2 linked regions of the Oreochromis niloticus genome follow. The main gene of each other region encodes a partner of the protein of the gene in region 2 in a complex. Links are inferred from orthologs where the notes say so. Each region holds a gene or a part of one and is shown on either strand. Other genes may lie near its edges.

Region 1 (7,108 bases), on a different chromosome or scaffold from region 2:
TTTTGTCTTAAAGTTGCTGGATACTTTGTGTGGAAACAGGTTATGCAAGTCCACATAAATGAGACTGTGAATGCAAAGAAAGAGTTTCCCAACCTTAAGAAAAGTACTTGAGTCCTTGTACACCTCTTCGTATGGGTTGGTTTCATCTGGTTGCTGCACTTCCAACTCATCCTAAAACACAAACATGTGGTTAGCAAACGAATACAGCCGAATGTAATTGCATAATAAAACAAGAGAATTGCTAACTATAATAAACTCCACCACTGTTTAATATGGAGAGTAAGACAAAGACACAAATGTACAAAAAACATTAAATCAGTTAGATGGAAATCAAAGAGGGAGATGGGACATTGTCAGCCTATTAAATCTGTCCACATTTCCATACATTTGTTCTAACACATCTGAATCAATGCATTTTGCACTATATTAAAATACAACACTAATTCCAAAAAAGTTGAGACATTGTGGGAAATGTAAATAAAACCAGAATACAATGATTTGCGGATCTCATAACCCATGTTTTATTCACTGCAGAAACTGAGACAATGTACCATTTTAAGAAAAACAATAGGTCATCATGAATTTGATGGCAATAACACTTCCCCAAAACGCTGGAACAGGGCCATGTTTACGGACTGTGTAGAACCCCGTCTTCTTTTAACAAGAGTCTGTAAATGTCTGGGAGACCAGCTGCTAGGCTTATCTGATATAGCCTTTTAGCAGCTCAGCACTCCTGGGTCTTCCTTGTTGCACGTCTCATTTTATGATGTTCGAGATATTTTAAATTGGTTAAAGGTCTGGACTGCAAGCAGACCAGTTCAGCACCTGGACTCTACATAACTTCCAAACTCAGACCCATCCAGGGGAGTGCCGGATGGAAAAACATGATTTGTCAATCCAGAGAACACGTCTCAACTGCTCTACAGTCCAAGGTAAGCTCTGTTCACAGACTGGAAGTGTTTGGAGCCCATGCAGTCTAGCACCATGTAACATCACCAGCATCCAACAGTGAGATTTGAAATGTGTTGCTGCCAATAAATTCCATAAGGCCATTTTTTTTTAAATGCATCCATCCATGCATTCCCTTCCATAATCCTTATTAGGGTTGCAGGTCACAGGGGGCTGGAGCCTATCCCAGCTATCATATTTTGCCAATCCATCTCTGGGCTAACCATTTAGTTTTAATAAAATAGCAAAATGTTTCAATATTTTACATGTTTTCTGTACTTTATTCTGTTCTATTCATTCAATTTATTACCACACACAGCATGCCAACTTATTTGAAATTACGATTGTAAATCTATACTTCACCATACAATTCATTACCTTAAGATATAATCTGTTAAAACCTTTAATGGGTTGTAGTGTTAAAAATACTTTAAAGTATTAAATGGAAAAATGATCTAATACTTCCACCTTTTTCATAAGTCATTTGTATTTACGTCATTATAGTCATGCAAAAGAGCAAAGTCAAACTCTGGCTCAAAGACAGCATTTACCAGACAAGAGATTAGCAGATTAGTTTTGTCCTCTAATCCAGACCTTTACAAGCCTTTGTGTACAAGTCACGCCAAATTTCAAGGCACTCCTGTATTGATGCTTGTAGAATAAGAGCCTTTATGTCGTCACTACTGATGTCAGTGACCATTTTAACTGTACTGTCAGATAAAGACACTTTTGAACATAGCTTTGCCATAAGCTCCACCACTTTAAGCATATGTTATTGCTGTCTATGGCACAATGTCACAATACTTAACTCCTCCTGACACATCCAGGCTTTTTAATTCAGTTTTATTTATATAGTGCCAAATCTCATAAACTCAACATTTATGTGGTTACACTCACCTTTTGCTCTTCCACATCCTCCTCTGTGTCCTCTCCTTCTGTCTGTGCTTTCCTTTTAGAAGATGGGGCTGTGCTGTCATATGAAGCCCTGAAAACGAATACACCTCTATATTTCAACATTTCCTTAGTCCCAAAGCAAGCATTTGGTACTGAAAAAAATGACATCACGGAGCTCATAAGATGACAAAAAGACTGTGCATGCAGTAAACCCAAAGAGAAAAATGCTTCTGAGGATTTCTGCAGTTTAGTAAACGGACTGGGACTCTTAACGGTTCAGGGGAACTTGGGGGGTATGTTGCTTAATGATGCTTCAACATGTGGCGATGAGGAATGATTCACAGACTTTGTGATTGGTGGATGGTCCTCTCTACCGCCTGAGCCACAGCCACCATGAACAGTACCAACACTATAGCTTACCTGCATGTTTCTCTAGTCTCCTCGATCTCTTTTAGTTCGTCTTTACTGTGTAGGACTGCTCCGATGCTGTCTGCGCTTTCAGCTCCCAGCTGTGGTAACGATAGAGCAAGTAAATATAAAGTCCCTCCTGCCTGTGTTCTGTTAACAATACAGTGCCAACTATGACGAAACATGTGCTTAATAAAACACCCCTTGGTATTTTGTACTGCTGGTACGTGACTCCATAGCGTTACGGATAATTGTAATGGCTCCTCAATGCGCTCAAATCTTTTATTTAGACGTACACCGAGTCTGCTCCTCTCAAGGGCGACCACTCTGAATGTTTTAAAGGGGTAGGCTTGTTATCGGCACCCATACATCGGTGTATTGGGCGGAAAACTATCTGAAAATCCATTTTGCACATAACACGCTTAGCTCCACGTTATTAACACAAATCCGTTAGGTATGTAGGTAAGTTGACAGGCAGCTGGAGGGCTCGTTGTGTACTTGCCTGTTGAGCTAACAGCTGCCGCCTAAGTTTTTGTCTCTCGCGTATCTCTTGAAGACGGCTGTTCATTGCGTCTTATGTACCGGGTTCTGACACAGTATTAAACCCCCTTGGCGGCTGGTGTAAATAAAATATGTTCATATAACACTTATTGCTATCTGTAACAACAGCTAGCAACCGGCTAATGGGGGATAACCGCTAAAAAATGGAAAAGTCGATAGGTGCAATCGGTTTCGACACCAGTACGCACAGGCACTATGCGTGCCACTTTATTGCCCATCAGCAGGTGGAGTTTGTTCAAAATGAGAGTCAAAGGCACATGTGTATTTGGCTCCTATACAGTTATGCCTAACTGTATTGGTTAAACCATCATAGTATGAACAATGATTGGGTCTTAAGAAAAGAGTGATTTACCGCCTGTCTCAGCGATTGGCGGTGTACGCCGGTATTAATTAAAGAGTGAACCCCTTTGTGATTGAACGGACGCGGTGCGATGATGTCACAATTTTCGGCGTGTATCTCTGACGTTTCGCAAGTCGTCTTCCAATCAGAGACGGTTAGTTCTCCTCGCTCTTCAAGCAGCAGCGGACAGATCCCACGAGGGCTCCCGACTAATAATTTAAACACCAATCACAGCAGAGAGCGCTCACGTTACCTCAAGGCGTATCCACCACTGACAGGAAGGCCGGTCTAGCATGTCAACAATCAATCCCAGCACACCTCACTGCGTTGATTTCGTCGCTGACTTTATTGGTGTTGAGTTTTCACGCACTGGTTCACTGAGAAGTCATTCTTAACATTTGTTATCTTTCAAGCACATCACGTTGTTAAACTCCTGCAGACACGATCCGTCACAAAAGATTCAAGTTGTGAAAGACACGCAATGAAAAAGCGTACGCATTTTTGAGAGAAGATTGCGCAGGAGAAAATTGTGCAAAATGATAAAAGCAAGTGCTTCAGATAACTCACCTGCAAGAACGCATCTCAAATGAACTCCCTACAAATCGGCTCCAAACGACTGAATACGTATAATTTGAGCAATAATAGGAACACCACCGTCTAATAAATATTAAATATATATATATATATATATATATATATATATATATATATATATATTTTTTTTAAGTAGAAGCATTTTAAAATTTAAATACCACGTATTTTCATGTTTTACGTTATTAGAGCAAATGCCCTAATATTTGAGAGGATTTGAATGCTGTCCGTCAGGAGGGGTTTTAGATTTGATTTTATAGAATATTTCTAAACTACTTGGTCGAGTGGTTAATGAGTAGTAAAGGGTACTGAAATATATAAAACAATGCGAAAAAAAAATATCTAAAAAAAACCCATTCCTATTAAATATAGGTACACTGCAGTTTGGTCGAAGCAATCATGTAGTCTATGTTATTGAATTTTCGTTGGAGGACTGCCTTGCCTATGCAAAAAAGAAAAGGGGGTTTCATCGATCCGCGTCGTTCTCACTTTCGTCCCACGGCTGGGCGAGAGGCTGACTGGATGCGTGGAAACCCTCAGCTGATGATAGGATCCGTCATAGCCCTAACATGAGTGTGCCATTTGTTGTTTTAAAAGCCGTTCTTTTGGCTGCGATCAGCTGCTGCTTTTATGCCAGCAGCGTCCCTTCATTCATCCTTCCGTTCACCGACTGCGCCCGAAGCCGTGGAAAAGACGGCTTCTACCGGGGAGCGATAGACGTCACCGAGTCCGGTACCCGGTGCATGAACTGGACCGAAGTGGCCGGCTTCGAGGAGCGCTACCCGGGCAAAGGCATAGGCGAGCACAACCACTGTCGCAACCCGGACGGCCGAATCCGACCCTGGTGCTTTTTTAGGAACCACAGAGGCAGAGTAGACTGGGGGTACTGCGACTGTAAACAAGGTAAACACGCAGGCCTACAGAGCAGCAGCTTTATTGTGTTTTATAGGAATTAACAGCCTCGAAATTGTTGAACGTGGCTACAAATATTAAACCTAGAAGAAGGTGAAATCCCCAGACGAGCAGGATTCAAGACATGCTACAGCAAGGCCAATATGAATGGAATGTACATTTTTGTATAGGCTGAGCAGCTGTAGATAGATGTGTTTTTACAGTGCTGTGCAGCTGAGTCACAGAGCATCCACCCATGGAATAATTAAAGGTGATCATACCTTTGGTTTACCAGAGTGTGAATGTGATTATTCATGTGAAAACATTTGTGTTTTCAGCTTCTTCTGTTTTTTTTAACCATATGCAGCTGTATTATATCACAGTTTTGGTGTCTGTTACTGAACGTTTTAACAATTACATGGCTGTAAGTGAGGTCTCCAGATTCAGTGTGTTTACTATTGCACAAGGAAGAGAGCCACAGGACGCCAGGTGTGTGTGTGTATGTGTGTGTTAGCATGGACTTGGACTGAGGCATTCGCTGTAAGCTTCTTACTTTACAATGTAAAGCAACCAGGTTACCCTGATGCATGCTCACACACCGAGTGACTATAACTGCAAATAATAAATCAAATAAATCAGAAAAATGCAGCTTTTTCATTTTATATTAATCTTATTCATCTTATGGGTTATAAATATTTAGATCATGATTTGCATTGTGGGGCAGTACAGGAGGAACATGTCTCTCCATTTTTGAAGGAAAAGGCTGTGCAGGTAGAAAATATAAAAAGGTGTCACATTTAAAAACAGTCACAGACACATCTTTTGCATTCTGTAATATTTCACTTTTTTACATTAGTCTTATTTTTTGCATCTGATGTGGTAAAATACACAAAAACACCTGTTAGTATATCTGATGATTTATCAGATACCCCCCCACCAGCACCACCACACACACACACACACACACACACACACACACACACACAGACTTTAAGTTCAATGTTCCCCAAAAAGCTTCTTTTGCACATCACATATAGTTTTACATCTACTTTTCTCCAACCGTCTTTCCATCTCAGGCTCCGTCCGTCTGCAAGGTGGCCGCTCCAAGCTAGACGGCCGGGTCGAAGTGTACCTTGGGGGAACGTGGGGGTCTATTTGTAGCAACGACTGGGGAGAGGAAGATGCTACAGTGGTCTGCAGACTGCTGGGCAAGGGGTGAGAGAGCACAAACGTGTACACATGTGCTTAAATGTGCGGTATTTATTTTATCCCTCCCTCTCACAAACGTCGTCAGACACAGGTGCAGGTTCTGTCACCATTTGCCGTTAAATTCATAACTGCTTACAGTGGTCTAACAGAGCTTCATTCAAGCACGCTCCTCTTTTCTGCTCCTACTCTTCTTTACATTCCAGCCCTCTATTCCCCAGAGGCACTTAAATACCTTGAGTGTCGTGCCATTTACGTTGTTTCCCGCACACTCCTACGCTCTCTGTTTCTGTTTTGCCTCTAGCTGTGTGTCGTGGACTTGATTATGAGATGTTAGTCATGCTTCTCAAGGGAGCCTATAGTCAGATTGTATATAACAGCAGTGTCCATAGTCAGGTGAGAAAGTGTCCTGCTCTCCCTGGAGAACAGAGAAACTCTTTGACTTATTGCACATGTTGTCACTAACACCAGCGCTGGCACATGGCACATACGAACACTTGCCTGCGTGTGTGTTTGTATTCACACGGGAGTCAATGAAAGTCTACAGCAGAAAGGAAAAAGGGCAAATGCCAGGCATATGTCATTTGGAGTGCTTGGTGATGACTTTCAGATGCTTAATTATTGAAAGCTGTTGGGTATAAGAACTACTGATGGCATTGGCCCAGAACAACAGATTATGCATGTGCAGACAGCTCAAGCTTACTGCTAGCAGGTTAATAAAGCTGCCTGCTTGTAATTCATAACTCTTGTTCTTAAATGAGATTTGGATCAGTGTCGGGTGGCATGATGGTACGGTGGCCCCTAGAGACAAAGCACGTACAAACTCCAAAGCACATGCAAACTCCAAAACACATGCAAACTCCAAAACACTTGCAAAATCCAAAACACTTGCAAAATCCAAAACACTTGCAAACTTCAAAACACTTGCAAACTCCAAAACACATGCAAACTCCAAAACACTTGCAAAATCCAAAACACTTGCAAACTCCAAAACACTTGCAAAATCCAAAACACTTGCAAACTCCAAAACATATGCAAACTCCAAAACACTTGCAAAATCCAAAACACTTGCAAAATTCAAAACACTTGCAAACTCCAAAACACATGCAAACTCCAAAACACTTGCAAATTCCAAAACACAACGGAAGTGCTCCAGGACGCTAGGGGCAGTGTTGAGCTTTCGTTACCTAGTAACTACACAAGCCAGGAAGTACCAATGACCGGATTTGGGCTCTATCCCAATTCAGGGTCTGCAGCCTTAAAGGCGAC
Region 2 (7,337 bases):
TATCAGCAACATACTTGGCGATGTTGAGACCTCTGAAGAATCGAGCGATATCCTGGTCAGAAGACTGCCACGGCAATCCTCTGGCTCGGATCACCGTGTTGTCGCACACTTTCTCCATTTTGCTGCTGCACACACAGATATTATTACAGGGGATTATCAGGGAATAAAAACAACGTGTATCTTTAATAAATGTTGCTCACCAAGTGCCGCTCTCGAACTTCTCATTAACTCTCTCTGGGTTAGAAAACGTGTGGCCTGCAACAGCAAAGCGACAGAGTCACCATGATAACACACACAGTAATCAAGCTGAGACAGTTTTTAAAAGGCAAAGCAAATGGCTGAAGTCTAAATCAGGTAAGACCTTACATTTCTTTTCATCTTAATTAATGGTTTGTTAAATGGCACGCTCAAAAGTGGCACTCCAAAATCTTGGATCATCAATTTTTTTAATGATTTTTTTTGAAAAATTAACATTTCAGTTATCCTCAAGAGAGGTTCTAATTAAGTTTCTATTTTAGTTCACAGCAGGGTCTTACTTAAAGTAACAGTTTTGGAACTCATCAGTAGTTAAATCGATTTACCTGACGTGTCGTGCTAATGTTACTCGGTAATGTACACGGTACTTACAAAATGGCTCGGATAGCAGTGCCAGGACAACGCTGGACATAAGCTGAAGCTGCTTTGTGGCTACTTCTGCAGGTAAAGGGACCGATGGATCCAGTGTGGCAGAGGGGTCCCACATGGTGGGCACATCAACAGGTATACCAAGAGCTGAGGAGGAGGTGGTTAAGGAGCCCAAGCAAGGGAGCGACAGTGTTATTAATCATGAATACGTCATGGTCCAGCAGGATTGGAGGTTTGTTTTCTTCTTTTTTTCCTCTCTCTCATTTTCTAAGTCCATTTTCAGTTTAGTTGGAGTTGTATGCTTTGAGTGGAGCCCACTCTCTCAGCCTTCTTCTACACCTGCTCTGAATCGCCTCATCAACCTGAAGTATTAAAAGGCAGGATATCCGCAAGATCGCTACACCGATCATGGTCGTAACCAGGCCCTCGGCCCTCTTTGTTGTTAAGTTCTAGTTAACCTCGCTTCTCTATTTGCCCTCTAATCTCTTGCTCCAAATTCTGCTTACGACTTATCCTCATTCCCGAGGAGCTCTGCTCAAACCACCAGGTAAACTCACCTGGCTGCCCATGCTCCACCACCGCCAGCCTTACCTCTCTCTAGATTCCTGCCTGCCTTCCTGTAACCCTCCTCCACGATTCACATCTGCAATCAAGTAAGCTTTTTTACCTGGATCACACAAACCAGGATGTTCATCTGCATTTAGAGAGGCCAGCACTAAATCCCTCTGTCCTCTCCAAAAGAAGATCCGGTTGTGTAGCAGCAGCGTCATTTGCCTGCTCCCAAATAATTTCTGTTGCTGGTTTAATAATTTTTTTAAAACTAAGTCTGATCTGTCTCCAAAAGTCTGATCTGTTTTTTCCCAAATCATGACAGAATAGACAGGTGTGTGAAAAAATGAAAAAAGTGAAAACAGAACAGCAGAAGACAAGGTTAGAGATACACATGTGTTTTTCTTCCTGTACCTGTGTGTGCGTTTGTTTGTGTGTGTGTGTGTGTGTGTGTGTGTGTGTGTGTGTGCGTTTGTGTGTGTGTGTGTGTGTGTGTATGGGGTTGGTCCTGTTGGGTAAACACACACTCTTTCACTAAGGGCTTAGTAAGGTGCTGCCACTCTTTCCTTATTTGCATTTCAAAACCTTTATCCCTACAGCCAACAGCTCAATGCACATGTGTTGTGGATTTTTGAGGGTAATGCAACGCACAGTATGAGAAAGAACCAATCAATCGGATCGAATCAATCAAGCAAAATAACAAGTGTCTCGAAATCCATGACGGCATAAACGGGTAACAGGACATGAAATGTTAATGTAAACAGGTGACGTGTTAAAAGGATACACTCTGCCATGGTGTGGACATTCAGAGCTTTGAGGTCAGGAGCGGGGAAGTGCTTCTTGAACTCCTTCCGAAGGTCAAAGAAAGAGTAGAAAGAGTCTGGGACCAGGATGTTCTAGAGAGGAATAAATTGTGTGAGTGAAAGGCCCATCAGCAGCTGCTCTTTTTATTGCTCTGATACTCATGTTTGCACAGGCCACAAGAGCATGCACTGCCTACTTCTTCTATCATTAACACACAGTTTTAAAACACTTGGGAGAAATTTCATCAGCCTCATTGTGTGCCTGTCTTTTATCTGCATGAGTGTACGGTATGCGCATGGGCGTGTGTCACCATAGTGGCTTCTCCTGTAGATCAACTTTCAGTGTTAACATTAAAGTTCAGCGGGCAGTGCGATGCTGACACAACACATCCCTCTGAGAGCGTCGAAGGCTCCCGCAGCAGCGAGCGAGCGAAACATCCGCCCCGGCTTGCTCACCTTGCTCGCTGCCTCGGGGTGAATCACTTGGCGGATGTGGAGCTGCCCGTCTGTACACAAACACACCGATGTGCCTGCGCCCGCGCTGTTCACCTCATTTGTCAGTTGCAGATGAAACTGTAAAAACATTTAGAGGTATGAACTTTAATACAGCTGCTTTAACCAGCGCTGTAACGGTAATTAGTAATCAATAAATGGCCTATTAATGGATTTCTGGCCACTTTGAAGACATTACCATGTTTAAAGCTTTATCAATGCTCGGTGCTTTGTACACACAGTCTGCTCCAGATCCATTCTCCTGTTCCACGCTCTCCTCCACCACATCCTCCTCCTCTTTTTCTTCTGTCGAGTCTGAGAGGTCAGGCTTTATGAGGAGCTCATTCACCTTGCCCAACTGGTTCAGAGAGGAAAAAAACAAGTCAGCCTTGAAACAGCAAGCCTAGCTAGAAACTCAGAGGCTTTGGAACAATATAATGAAACGAGCATGAAATATATGTGTTTGCTAAATAGATATTATCACAGTGGAATGCAGGAAAGGATCAATTTAAACGTCTTCCATGTAAGGGAGAAGGTTTTTTGTAATTAAAGAGAATAATGATTTCTGAACAGGTGTGTGTAAGCAGGAATCCCACAAAAATCCCCCTGGCACACCTTTCTTGCTGTTAATAGAGGTCTGACATTATGTATTGCAGTCCACCTGTCCACTCCTTTGAACACCACATTTCCTGCTTTGGAGTCTCGATGATTAGCAAAAAAGATCAAGCAGCCTACAAGTGAGTTGTTACCTTTTTGTTCTTTACATCCACGAGCTGCCAAACCAACTGCACGAGCTCCTTCTCGTCAGACCCCAGGAGATCTCCGCTCGCGCCAGATGTGGCGGTGAAAACCACCACCAGGTAGTCTACCTGCGCCGTCATCTGAATCTAAAACAGACCACAGAAAACTAATCTAATACTAAACGAGACTAAAAGGGACTCAAGATCAGCGGGATGTGAAACGCAAGCGGGACGCGGGAGGTAGAAACACCTTTACTCTGACACCTGAGCGCAAAGGTGGGTTCCGTAAATCCAAAGTTTCGTCGCGTGTGAGATTTTATGTGAAGCCTCCCGCAGTCACCATCGCGAAGCAATGGCTGAACGCTCACCGCTTTTGTAGTGAAGCTACCTGTGCGACCACGTGACCCCTTCACCTGGCCCCTCCCTCTTTCAGGTGGTTCAAAGTTTAGTACGTGGCAGCTCACGCAGGACAGAAAAGGTAATAAATAGTTATTAATATATAACAACAACGACAAAAATAAATAATAACATAATATTAATAATAAATGTGTTATATTTTAGTTACTATGCAGTTAATTATTAAAATAATGTAATAAATGTCTCCATAACAATTCAACAAATCGCATTCAAGTCTTAAAAAAAGGAATTGACAAGAAGAAGAAGTAAAAGAAGAAAAAGAAGCAGAAGAAGAAAAAATGCTCGTGAGAACATTTCGCATTTTATGCTGAAATACGGAAAAAAATTCCGTGAAATCCGTGTAAAAATGAAACAGTTAAAAAAAAACTTAAAAATACTAATACAGACCAAGTGAAGCTATCATGTTATTAAATCATAAAGTTATTAAATTATGACTTCGTGATATTTTGCTTCAATGAAAATATAAACTGAGTAATTGATTTAAATTTTTTTAAATAAAAAATAAAATTTCTTACAACAACAAAAGTATTCCAGAAAACGCTTGTCAACTTTTTTTCTCCTAAACAAATATAAATTTTCCAACTATATTTCTCATAACAACAACAACTATTACCACTACTACTACTACTACTATTGTTGTTGTTGTTGCTGTTGTTATTGTTGTTATTTTTAATTTTATTTATTTGCTTCAGGGTTGTTGGGGGTGGGTTGCTTACTCCGGAAGTATTCACTTTAATCCGGAAGTTTACCCCTGGCCCGGCCGATAGCACTGGAGCGATGGCGGGGGACCCTTCAACGGAGCTTCTTTTTCTGGATACGTTTAAGCATCAGAGTGCAGAGGTAGTGTTTTTTAACACTTAAACACACTCTTTTATGTTTACCCCATGACTACCTGCATTAAAAGTTAGTTTTAAGCGCATTCAGGAGTTTTGAGGAAGGATGCTTAACTTCCAGGCTAACGCTGTTAGCTAACATTAGCAGCGGTGTGATGTCATTATCCTGGTTTTAAGCGGCGATTACTGCACAGCTGTCCGATTATACAAAACGTGTGTTTTCGGTGTCAATGCAATCCTCATACATTAGCAGCTAAAAGAGTTGCCGTCTTTTGTGTCCTTGCACAGTTTGATTGATGGTTAGCCAGGTGGCTAATGCTACATCAACATTACAGTATCCCCAATATGTAGAGTGGCTAAGCATGTTTACCACGAAGCGGGAGTAAAAGTGACTTCTGCGGATGCCGGGGGCTATAAATTATGCATTTCACCATTGTTTGTATCAGTAATCATGTCTCCTTTGTTTCAGTTAACCAACATAGACGTGGTGCGCTTTCCCTGCGGGGTGCTGATCACAGAGGTGCGGGTCATTCCTCCAGGGATCAAAGCTCACAGTAACCTTCCTGACAGCAGAGCGTTTGGGTAAGATTCATCATGCCCGCATGAAAACTCATGCACACACTCATGGATCTTATTGCTACACCCAGTTAGGCTGAATGCATTCTAATCTAACAGCGTTGCCAGCATGTATATCGCACAGTTGTCTCAGTACTAATTGAGATACTGTACCTTTAAAAGGCAAACACCATACATGATTTCAGTGTGGCTACCGTCCTCATCAATGCAGTCTCCTAGTAAAGCAAAACACACTCTGAGTTTTATAGGACTCATTGGACCATTTCACCTATTAGTTGTGCAGAGAAACTATTAACTTCTGCATCAAACTGATAAGGTTTCATTTCAGAACAATGATTGCCTCAGATGAATCCATTGGTGTGTGCATGATAGTTAGAAAGTGCTTAAAGCCATAGGCTAAAGCACTTTGAGTCATGGGTTAAGTATGATTCAGACTTCTATGGGGAATCTTTGTAGAGTTTACAACACTCTACATAAATAACTGATGTCAATGCTGACATTGAAGCTTGTGCTGGTGCATTACTTGTTAATTACCTTGTGATGGTGTCCCTGTGTTTTATATGTGTTGCCAGCTGATAGAAATAAATGAAATGATGTGAATTTGTTTGGGTTCTTTTTTAAAGCTTTTTGAGGGGAGGGGGTGCATTTGTCTCTGTAGTTGCTCCACTCCTTTATACCTTCCCTCAAGTCCATTCCGATACTTTTGGTAATCTCCCTCCAGGAATTTGCTGACATTTTTGAGTCTTTATATTTCTGCTATGGTAATTTTTTCTTATACTGAAGTGACGATTGTTATTCTGTCACCGCTAAATTCAAAAACTGTGGTGCAAAAGTAGCCAGAAATTCACAGGAGGGATCAGTGGTACTGAACAGGCCAGTCACAATTGTTGTGGGTTGCGCTGACCAAACATTTAGTTACGTTTCTAGGGAGGTTATTGTCAGGTCACGGCATACGTTTCCCGCTAAAGCACAAATTTCCAGTTAGGGTAGAAAGGTGCCATTTAATTACCAGTCCATTTTCAGTGAAAGAGCTGACATGGTTGATAGCCGTGCTTGACATTTTACACACAGTGTTGTGCATTATGAATTTGGTTTCTGGGATACTGTAATGTTGATGTAAGTGTCTGAGGGAGAACATTCGGAAAGAGTTCATTAAACAGTGCTCCCATTCGGTCTGTAATTCTGATTTTAATTTTGGTATAACAAATACCTCTTTTCCACTAGCACCTGCTTGACTTGACTGGACTCACTCTATTCTGCTCTATTCGGGTTCTATTCTACTTAGTTTTAGTCTTTTGTCATTATAACTGTGTACCACCTCAATGTGGGTGGGCCCGTGATAGAAATGTGGCCCAAAAGTCGATTGATATCATTTGTACGTGCCACAAACACAACAGTGTTCAAGCTCCCTTTAGCACAAAAACATCTGAACCTCGTTGTTGGAGCACGGCGTTGGTTTGTTTGCATTTCCCTCGTTGCTGAGTTTTAAAAATGGCATGTTTGATTCTTGTGAAGGTGTCTCACTCATGACTAATCTGGTGATATCCCTCTCTGGCCAATCAATGACATGGAGTCTGTTAAGGTCAGGTTTTTAGCTGGACTCAAGTCGTTTGGAACCCTGGCCAAGTACTAAAATGTACCTGGTATTACCACTTAATGGAAAACCCTAAAACTGAGTCAAGTCGAGTAGGTGCTAGTGGATAAGAGGAAATACTCAATGGTGTCACCTTTGTCCCAATGCTAGAAATCAGAATTATATAAGAAAAGCAAACGTTGAATTGGTTTTGAGTTGCAAAAAACCTGGGGTCTTATTGCTAATGATATATTGCCTGTGGAGATGTTTTGGGGGTTGCTTTTTTTTTTTCTTTTTTTTTTTTCTCTTTTTGCTATGGATACCTGAGATAAATGTGTGTGTCTGGGGGAAATTGAGAAGCTTGTGTGAATAAAGAAGTGTGTGCATTTGATACCTGAGCTCCATTGTTGAACAGGTCCCAATTCCCCCCGAACCTGCTGAGTGATGTAATTTAGCTGAATGAACAGACTCAAGAATGCACAGTCCTCTAGCATTGGTATGCATTGTGGTAGTATTGATATTATGTTAAAGTGCATTTATTTTCTGGAAATCCATGATGTATAAGTAACGTCTGGTCCAAAGTTCTGCCATAAAAGCTACTTTTATCATAGCTACTGTGATCCATTTTTTGTTGATAGTCATAAAAGTTGAAATCAGTTTCATTTTTATACTGGGATCATTGCTGACGGTGGTGGTGGTGGCTTTTCTAATATTCTAACCCCCCCTATAA

The links. Proteins that work in one complex are often made in the same cells at the same time.
Region 1: virma (region 2) and mettl14 share a complex: the UniProt entries of both Homo sapiens proteins name them as parts of the WMM complex. The link is inferred for Oreochromis niloticus from reciprocal best matches to the Homo sapiens genes VIRMA and METTL14.

What each region holds. Positions count from the first base shown.
Region 1 is NC_031971.2:20,855,426-20,862,533, forward strand, and holds the start of mettl14 (N(6)-adenosine-methyltransferase non-catalytic subunit METTL14), read right to left. Parts: upstream 3,001-7,108; 5' UTR 2,819-3,000; coding exon 2,753-2,818; intron 2,352-2,752; coding exon 2,263-2,351; intron 1,934-2,262; coding exon 1,846-1,933; intron 172-1,845; coding exon 94-171; intron 1-93. Other genes in the region: prss12 (neurotrypsin), read left to right, coding at 4,312-4,645, 5,710-5,848. UniProt on the Homo sapiens protein: The METTL3-METTL14 heterodimer forms a N6-methyltransferase complex that methylates adenosine residues at the N(6) position of some mRNAs and regulates the circadian clock, differentiation of embryonic stem cells and cortical neurogenesis.
Region 2 is NC_031976.2:20,073,951-20,081,287, reverse strand, and holds the start of virma (protein virilizer homolog), read left to right. Parts: upstream 1-4,327; 5' UTR 4,328-4,402; coding exon 4,403-4,465; intron 4,466-4,927; coding exon 4,928-5,040; intron 5,041-7,337. Other genes in the region: esrp1 (epithelial splicing regulatory protein 1), read right to left, coding at 15-125, 201-255, 628-771, 1,958-2,069, 2,433-2,549, 2,668-2,826, 3,218-3,349. UniProt on the Homo sapiens protein: Associated component of the WMM complex, a complex that mediates N6-methyladenosine (m6A) methylation of RNAs, a modification that plays a role in the efficiency of mRNA splicing and RNA processing.